Linked DNA regions of Saccharomyces cerevisiae S288C. Changing the gene in region 3 together with the main gene of any one other region gives a genetic interaction. Each region holds a gene or a part of one and is shown on either strand. Other genes may lie near its edges.

Region 1 (6,749 bases), 500 kb from region 3:
TGCTCGGCAACGATGGAGGGTAAGGTCTGTCACCACCCATGGGCGCACAATTGGTATAATCAACCTCTACACGGTCAGGCTCGTTAACAGACCCAGTAAGGATTTTAGTTAATCTTCTCGTGATATTAACCTCTGATTCTGCAGCAGAATTCATAGTCGTCGTTCTTTGAATCGCTAAATCTGCACCACCATTGCCCTCCGTAGCAGTTGTGTATTTGGCACCTTCACCGGTGAAATCTACAGGTTCGACGCCTGTGGTTCCCGTGGTGCCCGTCGAATGCATATCGCTGGATGAGCTTCTTGACGAGTCTGATGGCAGCAGATGATTTTCCTTATTAGAAATGGGAGAATGATCCGACATTGTCTCTGTCTAGTTTTCTCTTGCTTCTTTGACTAAAAAAAAAAGTGACTGATAAAAGATCCAGAAATAAAGAGTTCCCGATATTTAGTATATGATCTCGTTGCAAGGGTGCGAAGAACCAATTTCAGATTATTGGATTTTTCTCTTCTATAGACCAAGATTATTTTTGAAAACTGGTGACTCAAGGCATACGAGCAGAAAGAAACATCAAGATCAAATGAGGTACCCTTTATATATAGAACACATTACTTGATAGTATATTCTGCACACATAAAAAAAAAAAAGAAAATGACAATGTTCAACGTTAAATTTTTCTTCCTTTTTCTTTAGGGAATTCCTACGATCGTTTCCTTTTAAAGTAAAACTCCCGATACGAAGATTTCTGTGTACCGACGGACGGAAATCTCGAATGGCTCTACTGTGAGACGGCTTCATAGCGACATAGACGGAAGGGTTTGCTTCCTTCCTTCCTTCCGCGTCCGCATCCGTTTCCGCATCCGCCTTCCGTATCCGCTTTTCGCTCGGTGCTTCTCTTTCCACGGAAAATCCTGCTCCTGCTCCATGGAACCAAAGCAACGGGGTCTGGCGGAACCTATAATCCGTTGTGACCGGGCCCGCATAAGGAATTCTCGGCTCTTAAAATAATCTATCCTGCGCAGAAAATACTGGCTGGCAAAAAAGAAATACTAAATCAGACTCCTTGTCTTTACGTTGGCTATGTAGTCCAAGCTTGGCAGTACTACTGGTGCCTGGTTATAAGATTGATTTTTGTGACTCTTGCGGAAAGGTTCGCCGAGCAGGGACCCTGGATGAAAAAATTTCTTGATGAGGCATCAGTATAAATCACTAGGGGGCTGTACATGCATGGTCGTTTAAAATCCGACTACGCACATTAACTCTTTTTGGCACTAAAAGCGCTCGGGGTTAAGTGTACCTACCCCTCTCCGGCCGTAAAAAAATGAAGGTAATGTTTTCAATTTTCACCTTTTAGTCATTATTGTTGTTATTGTTATCACTCAAATTAAATAAAAAGAAAGAAACTACTTAGAATAAATACTAACATTAATTGTATTGCGCCCCGCTCGCCTCGAAGTCATAGTGGGCTTGTTTCTCTTTTCAGCCACTTGTATGAAATACTCTGAGGCTGCAGAAAATGCACTATTGTCCTCCATACCCTTGCGTGGTACTCGTTAATCTGTGTTTTTTCTTCTTCGTTTAGTAACTTAGTATTGATCAACTTCCTGCAATAGGGAACCACAGTCATGTTTTCGAATTTCAAGAAGTTACCCTTCTCAGTGGCCTTCTTGATTAACATGTCGCTTTCAATCCTGATACCATACTCACCATCCTTATAATAACCTGGTTCGTTACTTATTATGTTACCCGCTCTTAAGGGGAAATTCATCAGATGTGGCCTAAAGCCGACACCCATGGGTCCTTCGTGAACGTTTAAAAATGATCCGATACCATGGCCTGTGCCATGTTTGTAATCTAACCCGCGGGACCATAAAAACTGCCTAGCGATGGCGTCGATATTAAACCCGGGAGTGTTTTCGGGAAAAATCAACCTCTCTAGGGCTAAGCCACCTTTAAGTACCAGTGTGTAATTATCCATTTCTTCTTTGGTTGGCTTTGTTAAGTGAATTGTTCTTGTTATATCAGTTGTACCCTCCAAGAATTGCGAACCGGAGTCGCAAAGATATATCTTGGTAGGATCAATCATCGAAGAGTTCTCTACGGGCGGCGAATAATGTATGATGGCGGCGTTACTACCTGTGGAGGATATTGTTTCGAAGGAATTGCCCATGAAGTTCCTTTGGGTTTTCCTAATCTCGGTCAATTTTTCTGCGGCACGATATTCATCTATCAGTGCCTCGCGCCCCACTAATTGCTGCTCCAGCCATGCAAAATACTGCACTAAACATACTGCGTCTTTGACCTGCGCCTTGTGTGCGTTTTTTATTTCGATGTCATTCTTGATAGATTTCAAAACATCGATGGGTGAGTGAATTATCGCAAAGTTTTGTGCAGTCATTTTTTTAGCTATTGCACCGTTAGCGTTGGTTGAGGTGTTCAAACAACGAACCATCTGCCACGATGCACTATCAGGAATCAAAAATTCATGCTCCGCAGAAGAAGCCTGCGAAGTTATCTTTGTTAAATGTTCCCATATCTGTTCGTAAGGTCTGACTTCAATACCGTTTATCTTAAAATATTCCGATATGTCATCATTGAAGGGGTTATTGGTGAAAAGAATGGTTTCGTCTTCGTTAATAGCCACGTAGGAGAAAAAAACTGGATTATAGTCAATGTCGGATCCACGCAAGTTCAACAACCAACAAATTTCATCCAACGCAACTACTATGAAAGTATTCCTACCGGTCGTCGCAGAGGAAGCCTTATCATTCAGCTTTTTCAGTAACTTTTCCTTCTTGTCTTTGAATTCTTCACCATGAAACTCGTATTTTAACAGTAGTAAATCGTTACAAGGCCTTTCAGGTAGAGTTTCAAAATCAGGCCAAATACTGTCAACTAAGTTTTCCTCCACGGGAACCAGCTCCACTTTACCCTTTGCGTCATATTTAGTGTCAATCATTTTTCTAAAAGAAACATAGTCGTTGAAAGTGATAAGTTTTGGGTCAATACCTATCTTCAACACCATTCCCTCTTTATTGCCAAGTCCCTTGGCCATTTCCAAAGCTTCTCTGACACACCATTCTTGCCAAGTGATTGGGTCTTCGTTTTGCCTCAAAAGTGTCCAATTATAATCTAGTTCTTGTCTAGCTTGATTGAAATATCTTCCATCAGTACTCAAAATGGATTTCCCATCCGGATGGTCATCGTTGAAATTTAACAAGTCTCTGGTGATACAGGCTACACCGGCCGATCCGGAAAACCCTGAAATGAAGGCGCGCCTTTGATCTCGCAATGATACATATTCGGACTGATGTTCGTCACAACTGGGCACAATATAACAACACAAATCGTGTTTCTTCATCTCCTGACGCAACTTCAACAATCTATCAGTAGTGTTAACTTCCCTGTTAACAGCGCATAGAGAGTCACATGAGTAAACAGACCCATTTCCAGCACTGCTACCTCCGCCAGCGCCCTTCAACTCGTTGAGAAGCATGCTGGAGGACCTCCTTGAATTTTCTAACTGTCTTAAAAATAGAGAGGCTCTACGACCTTGCCTAGACAGTAAGCCTGGAGAACACGTACAATCCGCACATGGCCTAAACGGTCTGGGGCTGTGTGATGCCGATGTTCCTCTCATGTGCGTGCCAGGTACATGGGAAATCGAGTGAGCCCTGCCGTCACTGGTGGATGGTTTCGAAGTCATATGAAGATTTTGTTTGTAATTATTGGTTTCGCTCTGTTGAGGTCTCCGTTTTTTTTTTATTCTTTTTTTTTTTAGCTATGCAGTCTTTTTGCCAGTGCTTCCTGCCTTTCCTGTATTTGTAAATATTGCACCTATTAAGACTAAACTGACTCAGTTTTTGTATGTCGCTTCCTTCTTGTTCCATCCCTCATTCGAAGTATTTCTGAAAAAAGAAAACGTAGAAGAAAATTCGGGAAAATGGGGTGCGATTTTTAGGGGTCACCCGGGGATATACCTTCGGGTAACACCAGAAGTCGTCAAAAACAAAACAAAATTAAACTAAACTCTGGCGGCTAAAAGATAATCATAATGCACATAGGGAAAGCTTTCTACCATATTTGAACACTTTAACGGTTAGTTGAAATAATAAGAAATAATTATATGTTTATTTTTACGTGGGTTATAAAGACGGGTAAATTATCTTCGTTATTACTCATGAAAACCTACAAGTAAGCGGCTCAATGGCATTTCGTGGCAGATAATCTTCAGCTATCATTATTATTTTTGAGAGGATGGTTTTTAGGAGCAGTTTGAGGAATAAACAAGAGCTTAATGTACCGTTATACATTTTTAAAAAGCTGTCTTTTTTATTGGGTTCACAGCTCTCATTTTTTTCCATGCAAAATCATTTTTTTAGCCGCCGATGCTTCAAAATGGGTTTAAGATATTTATTGTTTAAATGTTTCTGCATCTGGATTCACTGAAAAAAATTTAGACGCCTAACATGTATTTTGCATTTAAAGGATTATGCGGGAGAAGATTTCTGCCCATTGCCTCTTTTCTTACTATATTGAATAGAATATTATTCCAATACTGGCTTTTTTACAATTCATTAAAAGAGGAAAAGACATTTCAGAAAATTTTCTTCTCTATGAACCTTAAATGTAGGAAAAAAAAGGAACCAAACCACATCATTTACTCTCAACCGCCTTTCTTGTTGGGGTTCATGGTACAATTGCAAAGTTGTGTCAAGTTGTTGCCACTCTATCTTTTGTTTTTGTTACAGGGTAATGGCGCACATTATGCAAGCGCGATGACGAGCAAGGTACTTTCTTTTTTCCTTTAACATTTTGTTGTCCACCGGAAAATAAAAAAAAACAAATAAATGGGTAAGATCAAAAAAGGAATAGAAGCATATGTTTTAAGGGCAACGCCGAATCGTCAAAGAACGGGAGGAAGATCAATACATTAAGTGGAAAAAAAAAGCTCCCGTAATATGGATGAAAAGACAATTAAAAAGTCGATTCTTTCATCTTCCAATGATGAAAAAATAATATACAAATCGCGAATAAAGAAATTTCAAAAGAATCATAAATTTTATATTATTCTATTGGTTTTCATCGCCATTTTACAATTCATATCAATAGCTTTTTTCACTCGGGGATTCTTACTGTCAAGACACGTTCTTGATAATATTTCCTCACAAAACGAAACGAGTAAGTTACCTCCTAGGTTCAACAAGGCGGTGATTTTGGTTATTGACGCTTTGAGATTTGATTTCGCTATTCCTGTAAACGAATCCCACTCTAATTACAACTTGAACTATCATAATAATATATTATCATTGTATGATTCTTTTGCAAGCGATAAGGATGCATCTTCCCTATTGTTGAAGTTCATTGCCGACCCACCAACCACTACTTTACAAAGACTCAAGGGTCTCACAACAGGGTCCTTACCGACTTTCATTGATGCCGGGTCTAACTTCGATGGAACAGTAATCGAAGAGGATAACTTTCTTAAACAGCTCCATTTGGCAAATAAGACTGTCAAATTTGCCGGAGATGATACATGGATGGCTCTGTTCCATCCGTTCCTTTCCAACGATAGTTTCCCACTAGAATCACTCAATGTGTGGGACTTAGATACTGTCGATAACGGTGTTATGGATTACTTCCATGATCATTTACAGCAGGACAAGGAATGGGACGTCATGATTGGACACATGCTAGGTATTGACCATGTGGGCCACAAATATGGCCCCGACCATTTTACTATGAGGGAAAAACAAATTCAAGTAGATCAATTTATCGATTGGATACTAAAATCGATCGATGATGATACCTTATTGGTTATTTTGGGTGACCATGGAATGGACCATACGGGCAATCACGGTGGCGACTCCATCGACGAGCTCGAAAGCACTTTATTTCTTTATTCTAAGAAGCCGGACATGTGGAGACTTAAAGAAACTTCGAATTACAACATTGATAATTTGGGACACGATTACCGTTCAGTGAGACAAATTGATTTGGTGTCTAGTTTGGCGTTATTGATGGGCCAACCGATACCATTTAACAATCTTGGATGGCCTATTGACGAAATAGCAAGAAACGATAGAGAATGGTCTCAATTTGTCAACTCAGCGATAAGCCAATTACAATTATATAAGGACACGATGCAGATCCACCATGGCAATGACGAAATATTGGAACCGTTAGCGAAAAATATATCTAACACCCCCCCAACAAGCGATCCAGAAAAATTTGTTAAGCTGGGTCATAAATACCAAAAGGTCTTCTTGCAGACCTGCGAAGAACTATGGGCCAAATTCGATTATTATTCCATTGCCACCGGTATAACGCTACTGGCCACTTCACTGGTCCTGTTGATATCCATTACAAAATTAATTCCTTCTATTGTTGTGAATCAAATGGTTCCAGAATTCGTTCCGGGAATTATCATAATGGTCTTAGTTACAAACCTATGTTTCCATGGAATTTTTTACGTTTATCAACAACCAAGTTTTGTAGACCAATTCTGGGGTACCCTGTTAGCGACTGCAATTGGTATCATTATTGGTTGTTATATCACAATATTTGATAGGTACAACTTTATTTGGATTGCTATGAGACTGGGTGAAACATTAGCTGATTATTGGTCAAGAATTGCTGTCATGTTTATGATTATTCATGCTTTGCTTTTCACTTCCAATTCATTTACTATTTGGGAGGATAGAATTGTAGCATTCCTTTTATCTACTTTCGGCATGTTGACGTTGTATGA
Region 2 (6,749 bases), on a different chromosome or scaffold from region 3:
GAATTCTTCCCACTAATGCTAAAATGTTCAATGAAGCTATTTTTCCAACATCATAACCTCTGGGAAACGCTTTTCTACGTATGATAGAAGTATGCGCCTACGTGCGTACAAAGCGGTAACCTCCACTCTTCTTTGACGATCGGCCCAATTATGTGCTTGCAACAAAACTAGCAAGAAAAATTCTTCGATAATCATAGTTGGCGTGTTAGCAATCAATTGACCTGTTGTACTCCAACGCAAACCGGAAGCAATACAAATTAAACCAATGATGATGATGACGGATACAAGAACACTCCATGGAGTTGAGCAGATCCTATTAATATATTGGGATGTTCTGTAACCAATAGTGTTAATTTCAGGAGCTTTACCACTAAATTCTTCGGGACATTCAATACCTAATTCTTGGAATAATTCAAGGTCTTCTTTAGCCACATCAGAATAATTTTTCTCTTCATGTTGAACGATTCGGAAGTACACTTCTCTCAAAACGAAACCGTCCAAAAACCCAATTAAACCTGTGTATGTACCGATAATCAACCACCAATTATCATCCCACTTCATTGGCGAACCAATACCAATCCATGTGGCGAACACTGCCACACCAATCAGGACACCAATACCAGTACCAATAATATCAGCATACCAATCAATCATCTTTCTCCCTGTCGACCTTTTTTTAGATTCAATAGTAACAACTGGGTGAGGTGTTTCAAAATCGTTAAAATGCTTTCTTATACGATAGTCGATTTTCTCGTCCATATCAAAGATATCAACTAAAAACCTCCCCGTGAAATAATCATGTCTAGCCCTTATATTTTGTAAGAAAGTAGTGCAAATTAGAAGGGAAACTGCAACTGCAGTGTTAATATACATCTGCCAAGCGTCACTGAACTTTTTCAATCTTGGATTACTACCTGTAGTTTCTCCGGTGTAAGGTGGAGTGTTGCCCGCATCTTTTGGGATAGCACCGCAACCAATCCAAACGAAAATACCTATCCAAAATATCACCATTGCTGCAATTGAACCCATATACCTACTTGCTACGTTAGATAAACGGTCGTACCAATTTTCCACAGGCAGTTCTCCGTTAATGGCAGATGGGTCTATATGATTTTCAACAGAGCTGACTTCATTAGCTTCAACTGTGCAGTCTGCTTTTTCTTCCTCTGGGGTGCTTCTTGTTAGATAGTTTTTGAAGGAAGCCAATCTCGACTTCAATCTACCGCAGATCAAAATTTGTTCATGCGTACTCATCAACTGTTGTCTCATCAACAGTGTGTCCCAAACATAACTTTGAATAGACTGTCCGTCCTGCATAACAACTTGCCAATTGAAAGGTGCGTTATAAACAATACCAATAACCACCCAAATTATGAGGATGATCCAAACAATAAAAAAAACCGCCTGCGAACCGGCCACTCGTACCAGGAAATCCAGGGTCTTATCTGTGAAACCTTTGCTTAACCCGGTAAAACCTTTACTCGTGAAGATTGCCCCTGTTTCTGTTAAATTCACATTACAAAGTTCGTCATCAGTACTCTCATCGCTATGGCTGACTACTCTGACCACATCATCATTTTTGTAATCGTTAGAATCACCGAATTCTTCGTACTGTTTGCAGTCAACAGTAGGTGCTCTATGATGAACGTCAGGCCTAGCACCTGGATTCCCGAGAAACTCTGCAATTTTACCCATAATTTGATTAACGAATGTTTAATAATAAGGGTCTTATTAGGTTTCTATATCTACCTTTTCCCTTCTTATATCTGATACTGTTTGACTTATGATAAAAGAAACTTACTTACCTATCAATTAATTCATGCCGTGTGAAGTATATTTATATAAACAAGTATTTCTAAATGAAGAGCATCGAATCAAGATGTGGTAGATGCTAAACTAATGGGTGCAATTAAGAAGGCTTCTACCAAGCAAGTTCAAGGCCAGTAGCATTATATAGTTTTTTTGTCTTTATTTTTTTTTTTGGTTTTTTTTTTTTTCGTTTGAGAAAAATGCTGCTTCCTAAAAAGACTCAGCAAAAATGCTCATGACCTAATCAGTTTCGAGAGCAACCCCACGGGTAGGAAAGAAAGAGGCGCCAACGTTAAAGGAAACTGCCCATATCTAATACATAACCGCACAAGCTCCAAGCTCATTCAACACCTGTGTGATTTACGCCCCAATAAGGCTCAAGATTCCTCAATATTTTGTCGTTGTTCGAGCCATGAAAACCTCAAATTACTGCTACAGGACCCTAGGGTCTCGCTAAAAAAATGACTACGCGCGCTTATATAATTACTCGAATAAGACAAAAGAAAAAAACCCTTGCGATATGTCGTAGACACGTAAAAATGGCCCATTTAGTGGTAGTCGCAAACTAGAGGGGTAAAAATAACCTGTCCAGTACTGAAAGTAATGCTAGGGAAATGCGAATGACCGTACGTACACCTTCGTACATGCAGGTATTTAGGGGGCTTATTGTTTATGAACAATAGCACTATGCCAGGTCAAACATATCATGTTCGCGCAGTCTCCTCGTGGGATATATAAAGTGAACAAAAAGTGCACCCGGTTTTCGGAACAACGCTCTTCGCAACAAGGCAAAAAAGAAAAATGGGACAACGTAATCGGAGAATACCCAAAGGACATTATAATCCAATCAACGTAGTAGTACGTATGGTTAGAACAGCAAGCACAGATATTTGCTCATATGCAAGGAAACTGGTGTGATTAGAATGCCTTAAACATGAGTCCAATGTATGCGAATAAGATGCTACGTTGAATAAGCAGATCAAAGAACTTTTGGTAGGAAAAGCTTCTTTTTTTAAAAGCGCACGTTTCTTTTTCTTTGTTGGACCTTCCATCAAAATCCTTAATACGTGCAGCGAAGCAGCAACGCATTGACAGTTCATACAGGAAAGAGGAACAAATATTTTGAGCTGCTTGTCCCAGGAATCTAGGTGCTTACGTATCTTTTATTTTATTTAAATGTATGATCTTACCCACGATAATGGTCTTAGTACTTTAGTTTGGCAATGATGGAACCGGAGGACAACGGACAAAAGTTAGGGTATCTTTACTCTGTCACTGCGTATTTTTTGAAATACACTATTTTTACAAGGAGTTAAGCATAACAAGCACGTGCTGCAGATGTTTTCATTTAGTGAGTGAAGATCTTTATTCAAGTAATTCATCTTCATCCGTATAACTTCTTAGTAAAGCGACAAGGTCTGATGGCCGAATTTTTTTAATTTTGGCCATCGTATTAAAATGAACACTCTAAAGCCGAAATGAGAAAGATCTCGCTAATAGTAGGTTAGGACTCAATGGCTAGGTTATATTTTTGCCTTCGTGAGAGTAATTTACGTCGAGTAATGTCGCCTGACATCCATATCCCTTTGTTATTCTTCATTAAATGTCACTACAAATTCTGTCCTTACTGAAGTAAAGAATATTTGAAAATACTACACTGATCTTTAATTACTGATCTACAATAACACACAGTGTTGAAGGATAATTCCAAGACTCTCACCTGCGACTGGTCGTGTTAGGAAACCAAACTGAAATATGCTAAATTTCGAGTGAAACCTACCGGAATCGGTACATCTCCAGAGGATTTTAAGTGAAGATTTAACATCGTATAACAAGCATGCATAACTTGTCACTGGGATAAAGAGAAGGTACTAAATTTTCGTAGGCGACAATTTTCCATCTCATAGAGTACTCGAAGAAAAACATAAACACTATTAAAAATAGCTCCTAGTAAAGGCTTTTTGGATTCTAATTCAAGTTTACAAATACCTACCAACAACATTCTTGATATTGTAATCTGCTCTGAAGTAGATACCCTAACGGGATTGTTAAGTCAGGGAGCAGCGTAACGACATTCACGAAAAGCTCTAAAAATGCGTAGATTTGGAAAGCCATGTATTGTTTCACATGAAATTTCGGCCAGGCCTCACATATTACAGCCTTGTAATTATAAGATGGTGCTGAGTTGTAAGGTAAAAAAACCCATTGAGTTATTGCACCTTCAAGAGTTAATACTTTACACTTTTATGAAAATTTGCCTTCACGTAAACTTGATCCAGCAAAACATCAATAAGTTGTCATATATTTCTCGAAAATATCCAAGGGCACCTGCTTTTATCAGCTGCGACAATAGAGCCACGGAGCCAACAAAAAAAGGCTTTTTAGTTTGCCGCATGTAATGATTGGCGAATAATTTTTCAAGGTTATGATTGTTCTTGGGAACACAGATCACGGAATCCTTTTGCCAATAATACATTAGATGGAATATTTGGATACAACTTTCGAATATAACGCCTTTTGAGCTAGCAATATCGACTGTATGGGAATATAAAAGTTAATTTTAGGCAATTTAATTAATCGTGACTGGTCGGAGAAGGCGAGATTGTAGCTCCACCATGTGAGGATTATTGGCAAAGGTTTAGATCCGGTGGAGATTTATCTTCTTTTACCCCATCTTACTTGTGCACTCTCCCAAATTCCCATCTGATGAACTGTTAGTTGATTCCTTTAGATTATAAAACATATGATGTTTACTCTGTTTTTTGTCGGCGAAGTACGGAAAAGCATTTGTGACTCTAAAAAAACATGGCAAGGATAATTAATTAACAATACTTCTTGTGCTGTTTATAAAATGTATTTAGTGTAACATGCTGCTTCCTAGCATATGTATAATGTTAAGAATTTTCCAGTTTCTTTAAAAAGGCATTTACGTGTATTTCTTGACGGCTGCAGAAATCTCTTGGATGTCTTTTGGACTTGTTCTGCAACAACCACCAATGATACGGGCACCGCTGCTAATGTACTGTTTAACAACCGTATCCCAACTGTTCAGCTTATCGCTATTTGGCAACCATATCTTCTTTTCAGTATCATAAACTTCACCACTGTTTGGATAAGCAAGCAAGGCCATATTTGGCAGTGCTTGATGTAGAGACTCAAGAATGTCGGGTGATTGGTTGAAGCTGACGCAGTTGATTCCTAAGAACGAGAGGTTAGGATTTATTTTGTCGCCCAAGTCCATCATCTATTTACTACGAAACGATAAATTTCCCCGTTTTCTTTTACTTTTACTTCATTTAATATAATTCATATTTATTTCCCATGTACCAATTAATTACTCCTAAAAGAACAGAAATAGAAAAAAGTTGTATATAACAAGCCAAAAAAAAAAAAGAAAAAAGGAAACACAGCTTATTTCAAATTGCAATCTGCGTATTTCGTAAGTAACGAATGATCTCACAGCATTGCTTTTTTTTTTTTTTTTTTTATATATATGTACATTACCTATGTCACATATGACCATGATGAGTACAACACTAAAAACCAAGGCCTACTATTCAATTGTTCTCTATATGATTTCCATTCTAGCAAAATCGAGTGCTACCGATCTGCCGTTTTCTTTACCTTTCGAACCATTGAGCTGTTAGCCTTCTCTTCACAGAAACTGAAGGCCATTAGAAGCCTCCCCTTCAACAATTCCCTTGTCTTTTGTTTCAGCTATATAATGCGTTTATAGCTCTAATTGTGGTCGAATAGGAAGAATTTGCGTTAACACCCGTAACTAGCTTTCCATCGGTAATAGAGTAGTCATCCCAGGGATGAATTGGCGCCAAGTACTTGGCTCTATTCTTGTTTGCAACGCGTTCAACCGTTGTCAATTTTCTGCTCCTCAAGATGTCGTCAACTCCCAGGGCGATTTCACCCTCGAGTGGGAAACCTGTTATAGCTTTGCCTTCGATTAATGGTCTTGTTGTTTTGATATCTATTAATCCATCGAAAAGGAGCGGTCCATGACAGATGGCGGCGATCACACCCCCATTGGCATATATCTTGGATGCAATATCTTGCAGATTTTTAGCTTTGGGATAGTCAAATAGAGCACCATGTCCAGCAGATGCAAAGAATATTTTATAGTCGCTGGCGTTGACTTCATTTGCGGTCTTGATCCTCGCTAACGCCTTATTGAAGGCGGAATTTTTCGTTTCAAAGTTCATCTTATCTTCGCCACCAATAAAGCTCTTTGGCAAGTAATGTTCATCCCAGCCAAATCCACCAGTCTCAGAAACGAAGTCCACTTCGAAACCATGCTTTTCGAAAGTATCGAACGACCGCAAAATCTCAACTACAAAAACGCCTGTTTTCGCACCATCTTTATAGAAGGGACCGTGGTATGAAGTAAGAGATATTAGCGCTCTTTTTGGAGTCATTGCAAGGCCAGTTTTCTTTTTGAATGAAGGAGAAAAGTGTTCTAGAAATATGTTTTAGTTCTAAGTATCGTTGTCTGGAGCAAGCAAAGAAAAGCAGACCTGTATGTGCAACTTTCTTGTTTTCCATTAAAATCTCAAGAACCGGCCCCTTGACTGTGCTCATATATCAAGTATCGGTTTTAAAGTCCCCTAATTGTGATAATTGCAAGAATGACAGTCAAAAAGATATTTTTCTTTTCTTTCTTTTTACCTATCCTTCATGAAAATACCTATGCTGATACTGAATATCTTCATTTGCAGCTATGCAATATTTCAGATACTGCATTTTACCCAAGAGTTTCTTTACTGGTGGTTGGATTTTTTTTAAGACGAGAAGATTACCAGTCCTGGATGTTCATGAATGTGCCTATTGCGTCATCAGCGACTCCGCGCCAAGAAAAGAAATACTCGCATGCTCGGATTTATAGAATCGCATAATGGAAATAGCTTCCTTAAAGGATGGAGATAAGGAAA
Region 3 (6,155 bases):
CGTTGGCCAACCACAAGCGTGGACTATGGGATGTATCATTTTGCCAATATGATAAATTATTGGCAACTTCTTCAGGTGATAAAACAGTCAAGATATGGTCATTGGATACATTCAGCGTTATGAAAACATTGGAAGGTCATACCAATGCGGTTCAAAGATGTTCGTTTATTAATAAGCAAAAACAACTGATCAGTTGTGGTGCTGATGGCTTGATCAAAATATGGGATTGTTCTAGCGGTGAATGTCTGAAGACTTTGGATGGTCATAATAATAGATTATGGGCTTTAAGTACTATGAATGATGGTGATATGATCGTAAGTGCTGATGCAGATGGTGTTTTTCAGTTTTGGAAAGATTGTACGGAACAAGAAATAGAAGAAGAACAAGAAAAAGCTAAATTACAAGTCGAACAAGAACAATCGCTTCAAAATTATATGAGCAAAGGTGATTGGACAAATGCATTTTTGTTAGCAATGACTTTAGATCACCCAATGAGGTTGTTTAATGTTTTGAAAAGAGCTTTGGGCGAATCAAGGTCTAGACAAGATACCGAAGAGGGCAAAATTGAAGTCATTTTCAATGAAGAATTGGACCAAGCCATCTCTATCCTAAATGATGAACAGTTAATTTTGTTAATGAAACGATGCAGAGATTGGAATACAAATGCAAAAACACATACCATAGCGCAAAGAACAATAAGATGTATTTTGATGCATCATAACATAGCAAAATTGAGTGAGATACCCGGAATGGTAAAGATAGTTGATGCAATAATTCCATACACGCAAAGGCATTTCACAAGGGTTGATAACTTAGTTGAACAAAGTTACATATTAGACTACGCGCTAGTGGAAATGGATAAGCTATTCTAGGCAGTAAGTCCAAGATATTGAGCCTTTAAAAGCAAGGCAATAGCAACATATTATTTTGTAAACTAGATATATAAAGACAAAATGCATTGATGAAGCGGAAAGCTTAAAATAATTCGATATATAATTAGGTGCCTTTACGGGCATTGAAAACTTCTTTGCGCGAAGAGCTCATCACTAAAAATTTGCAAAAAACGAAGAGCGAAAACTTTCATATATTGTAGTAATATATACAAGAATTTAAACTGCCCACTTGAAATAGCACGGAAAGAACTAGCCATAATATATTATACAGGATGTCGGCAGGTGATATATCAGCCATAAATATCAAGTCTGTCAAAAAAAACAGAAGGAGGAAGAAGAGAAGAACAGCTGATGTTTCATCATCAGATTCTTCATCATCGGATCCATCATCAGAAAGTGAAAAGGAGGAAATCCAAAATGGGGCCATCGAAGAACACGTTGGAGAAAATGGTAAAAGTGATCATGTTTTCTCAAAAGGTAATGACGAAGACAAACAAGAGGACATTGCAATAGAAGTTTCGGATGTCGAGCTTACAGACGAAGAAAGCAAGGATTTGAAGTTAAATTCAAAAGAAGTGATAGACGATTTAACCAAAATTTCTTTGAGCAAGATCCCAGAGCCTACGAAATCTCAAAACAAGGAGGGTTTTATGAATGCATCGAAAATTGCCGAAAATATCAAGCTTGCGAGAGAAGAATACAATGAATTGGCAGAAAACTTTGTGCCCAAAGGGAAAGACAAGACAAAGTTAAGGGAAGAATACTTAAATTTACTTTTTGAAAACTACGGTGATGATATCAATCGTCTTAGAGCTGCCCCGGATTTCACGAATAAATCACTATCCATTTTGGCAGATGCTCTGCAGGAAGGCATAGGAATGTTTGATATTGGTGAACTAGAATTGGTCTTGAAAAATAAAGAAATGGAGAACTGAAAAATATTGCTTTAAATCTTTTTCTAAAAGTTTGTCATGTTTCCGCGGAGAATATATTGACGTGCACATTAATTATTTAGATAATTCTTCGATTTTTAATGAAGAGCGGTCCTGATCCAAGTTGTGCTTCATATGGTATAAAGCTGATTCCAGTATACTGCACGAGAAGTATATGTATGTATTTTGTAATTTATATAAAGGCAAAAAAAAGAAAAACACTTGGGCATAATGGAGGAGAAGATCTTATGACCTGATAGTCAAAGAGAAAAAGAAAAAAGCAGAAGGAGCAAAGAAAGGCGGCGACCAAATGACGAATTAGATCCAATGAAAAACGATTCAATGCGAATAAAGGTTATCATGGATCACCTGATGGGCCTCTTGGCAATAGAAAAAGAAACTAGTTTGAAATTCATTAATATAAATAAATTTAAAGAGGAGAATATAGAAACAAATTAAAACGTAAAAGAAATGTATGTCGAGAAAATCCAGCCCAGTTCCAAGTATATAGCAAAGCTTCTCAATCCCAAATTTCTTTACAATAAATATGTATAGTGTTGTTACTTTACACTTAACCCAGTAACTTAACAAAGAACCAAGCCGCACCTGCTGCTACACCACCCACAACAACCATTTCAACACCTTCCGTAACTTTCTTTGAAGTCGAACTGCCACTACCCATGGATAGTTTTGTCTTTACGTAACCAAACCAGAATAATGTTACAACCATGACTATTATAGAATAAATGAGACCTGTGCCCACATCTGAGACAAAAAAATATGGCACTAGTGGTACTAGCCCACCAAGTAGATAACCGCCACCGATAGTGACTGCACTGATTAGTTCTCTATTCTCGGCAGGTTCGTCTAGACCCCTACCGTACCTGATAATGAAGTCAACCATTAGCTCAGGTGTTCTTTGTAAATCTTTGATGAACGAAACGATTGTTTCGTCCGAGAAATTAGGGTTAATCTCTAACAGAATGTCTTCAATTTCTCTGTTAATTAGGTTGGAGTTATCGTAAAATTTCCTTTTCTCCTTCTTTACTTCAGCATGATAATAATCAGATTCACTCTTCGCTCCCAAATAGCCACCAAGGCCCATAGAAATCGCACCTGAGATCAACTCAGCAAAGCCACCGGTAATGACCAATTTCGCATCACCAAGTGAAGATAGACCAGCTGTTAGAGCAAAGGGGACGGTTAAACCGTCGCTTAGCCCGATAATCAAATCGCTAATTACGCGAGGATCTACTGATTGGAAGAACCCTAGGTTCGCCTTTTCGTTATCCGAACCGTTATCGCCATTCCTATTATCTTTCCCTACTGACATCGGTGAGTTTTCTAGATCCTGCGCTGAATTTCTACCATAGATAATATCCGAGCTAGATGAGGATAAGTTATCATGCCTTGAACTATTGCTATTACTACCCCTCAACAAGGGAGTTGATTCAGACCCCCCCAACTCTGAGGTTCCACCACTACCTTTCGCTTTCTGTATAAGGGTCACCACTGCGTTCTTTAGTGCTACAATGGACATAATATTTGTGTGCACGAGATATGGGAGGACAAAAAAAAAGTTTCTTTGTTCAATATACCAATAAAAAAAAAGAGTCTAAAGGCTTCGTTCTGTTATATTTCTATTCTATAAACCTAAAAAAAGCAAAAATTGAGAGTGATGTCGCTTTAACTTGATTATTTGAACTATTTTGTTTTGTATCAATTTTTCATATATAATCTTAATTTTACATCTTCATTGTGAGACATTCGGGCTAACAAAGAAAACAAAAAATGCGGGTCACGAAAGGGGTACCGAGCCAATGAGAAGAGGGTATGTTAGTAATATTAGTGAGAAATGCGGCGCGATTGGTCCAGACCGAAAAAAATCAATATTATTAAACTGTAAAAGTTATATTAAAAATTAAGTTACATTAGTAATTGAAGTTCACAAGAAGAAAAAGAAGAGAATAAATCTAAAACCAGGCTTCAAAAATTAGGGTTGATTGCAAAATTCGAGTAAACAACTGCTAACGGCTGCTTTTTTTCTTGAACAGTTTAGTGAAGAAACTGGACTTCTTGTGCTTCGTGGGAGGATCTTGTGTTTGAGCCTGTATTGTCTTAGTGGCATGTGTCGAAGTGACCATTGTTGGCTCAGCGGCAGATAATTCATTCGTCGATGATGTTGTTGGATCCGTGGCGTCTTCCTGACGCTGAGGGGTTTGGTCCTGTAAAAGCGAAGAAGAAGACTTTAGATTATCCTGCAGTTCCGGTGATCTTGTTCTCGTTGTTGAAGCTACTGCGGAGGTAGGTACATTGCCCTGACTTTGCCCATTCGAGGACGCAGTAGTCGAGTCTATTTGTTGTTGAAGGGGTGAAGGTGAATCTGTAACTACTGGATTCGTCATCACACCTTCGTTTGAAGATGGCTTTGCGGTTGTCACACCTTCCGAAATAGACGCTGCTGGGAAGCTTTCTTCAGCATTACGAGTAACTGGAGTTTGTTCGCCTTGTTCCTTCTTGTGCTGGTAGCCGTAGTTTTCTTGAGAGAATTGCAGCACTTTATCGAACATGGTTTTGAACTTATTTTTGGAAGAACCAGTTGTTTTTGTCTTCTGCAATGGAATGGGCTCGTATTCATGCACTTCGCTTTGGACTGGAATTTCAGAATCCCCTAAATAGTGCTGCTCATTGGGCGGGATGCTCCCAGTGGATCCCAGATGGCTAACGCCGACCTGACGAGGTTTAGCCGCCGTAGTGCTATTATCGACTGCTTCAGGTTGAATACCATGTGAGTTGTAATACCTCGCTTGTGCGATTTTCAAAGCTTGGTCATACATTTCTTTATCTGTTAGCCCTGTGTTTGCACTTTTAGGCTCTGGAACTGGGTCAACAGCCTTATTCGATTTAAAATGTGTAGACACAGAGTGATTGTGCACTTCATGGGGGGCGCTTTTAGTATTTCTGCTGAAGAAGGAACTTGTAAATCTTTTTGGTTGAACCTCGACATTAGATTTGACAAGATTAGCAGTCGCCGTCGGAGAATCACTACTGCTTCTCAAGGTCATTTTTTGACCCATCCTACTTTTCCTGGATTTGTTACTCCCGAGGGGGGCCGATGCGTTATCCGAAGCAGCATCCGTGTGATAAACGTTTCTTTTAGCAACCTCTAGTGCCTTCAGATACATTTCTGCTTCGGTTAATGGTTTCTTGGCCTCTGCTTCTGCGTTTTTCACGGCAGGCGGTCTTTTCTTCCTTCTTGTCGTCGATGCTTGCTTCCTTTTATTATGAATATATTTACTACTGGTCTGATGGGTGGGAGGAATATAATCTAATGCGTCACTGAAGTTTGATAAACTACTTTCTTCTTCTAGAGGCATAACGTCTGTAGAATACTTATGGTGGAAATATGATCCAAGTGGGAAATCTGGTTTTTCCACGTTTAGCTCTGAATCATCTTGTAAATGACTTTCGCTTACTGGGGAATATGGCTTTTCGTTATCTGTTTCGTTTTCCTCGATTATATCGTGAATGTTATCACTAGCTTGTTCCTCTAAAATGTCGTCATCTTGCAACATGTAATTTTCACTAAATTCATCGAAATGACGCTGCGAGTCACCTAATGGAACCAAATTCTTAGTCGTAGTCGTGGTTTCTACGTATTCATACCCATTTATTTTTCTTATTGTCTTTTTGGTAATTGATTGAGTCCTTCCTGAAGGGTCTGTTACTTGTGTAGTCTTTACGGTAATGGAGTTGGCCCTTGAATCGTTATTGTTGCCGGCCGTCGATTTGTTCTTACCGTAGTTTCTTCTGACATTCGCACCAGACGTCATAGAATTCATACGGCTCCCATTAGTAGTATAACCGGGCGGGTGTAAATGGTACTCTCCGCTCCTTTGCGACCTCAACGAGTAAGTCTTCTGTGAATACTGCTTAGCTGCTGCCCTGGACGTTGGCGGAGCGGCAGAGGATGTGGAAAGCCTTCTTCCTGGGCTCTTTACCGAACTTCTTTGTCTCGGTATTGAAGGTGCATGACTAACCAGCGAGTGCGACCTTGAGTAATTGGTTCGATCCGGTGATGCGGCAGAAGCAGCAGAGGCAGCAGCAGCAGAGAGCTGAGGACTTTTGTTATAATCTTCATGGTTCTGATAGTAGTAATCATACCTAGATAAATCAGGTACCCTCCTGTCCCTCTTTGTAAAACCAAATACCATTTTCAACTTTCTTGATCAACAGAATGTCTTTGTTTGTTTATTCTAGTGAAAAAATAGAAGTAAAAAGCAATCAATATAAGCAACGTGAAACGATCGAAGGAAACTAAAAGAGGTTT

What was found.
Region 1: of CCC1 (region 3) and FRA1, extra expression of one rescues a mutant of the other (dosage rescue), as found in Saccharomyces cerevisiae (2 studies listed by BioGRID, with this or other methods).
Region 2: of CCC1 (region 3) and FET4, changing one enhances a phenotype caused by changing the other (phenotypic enhancement), as found in Saccharomyces cerevisiae (one study listed by BioGRID).

What each region holds. Positions count from the first base shown.
Region 1 is NC_001144.5:78,416-85,164, reverse strand, and holds FRA1 (aminopeptidase P), read right to left. Parts: upstream 3,705-6,749; coding exon 1,455-3,704; downstream 1-1,454. Other genes in the region: polyamine transporter TPO1, read right to left, coding at 1-361; RRT7 (Rrt7p), read left to right, coding at 4,468-4,809; mannose-ethanolamine phosphotransferase GPI13, read left to right, coding at 4,960-6,749. UniProt on the Saccharomyces cerevisiae protein: Involved in the regulation of the iron regulon in responss to decreased mitochondrial iron-sulfur cluster synthesis.
Region 2 is NC_001145.3:912,844-919,592, forward strand, and holds FET4 (Fet4p), read right to left. Parts: upstream 1,696-6,749; coding exon 37-1,695; downstream 1-36. Other genes in the region: YMR320W (uncharacterized protein), read left to right, coding at 3,903-4,208; YMR321C (uncharacterized protein), read right to left, coding at 4,736-5,053; SNO4 (glutathione-independent methylglyoxalase family protein), read right to left, coding at 5,523-6,236. UniProt on the Saccharomyces cerevisiae protein: Required for Fe(2+) ion low affinity uptake.
Region 3 is NC_001144.5:574,035-580,189, reverse strand, and holds CCC1 (Ccc1p), read right to left. Parts: upstream 3,366-6,155; coding exon 2,397-3,365; downstream 1-2,396. Other genes in the region: U3 snoRNA-associated protein UTP13, read left to right, coding at 1-872; RSA3 (Rsa3p), read left to right, coding at 1,166-1,828; MSC3 (Msc3p), read right to left, coding at 3,853-6,039. UniProt on the Saccharomyces cerevisiae protein: Has a role in both calcium and manganese homeostasis. Involved in the transfer of iron and Mn(2+) from the cytosol to the vacuole for storage of these metals.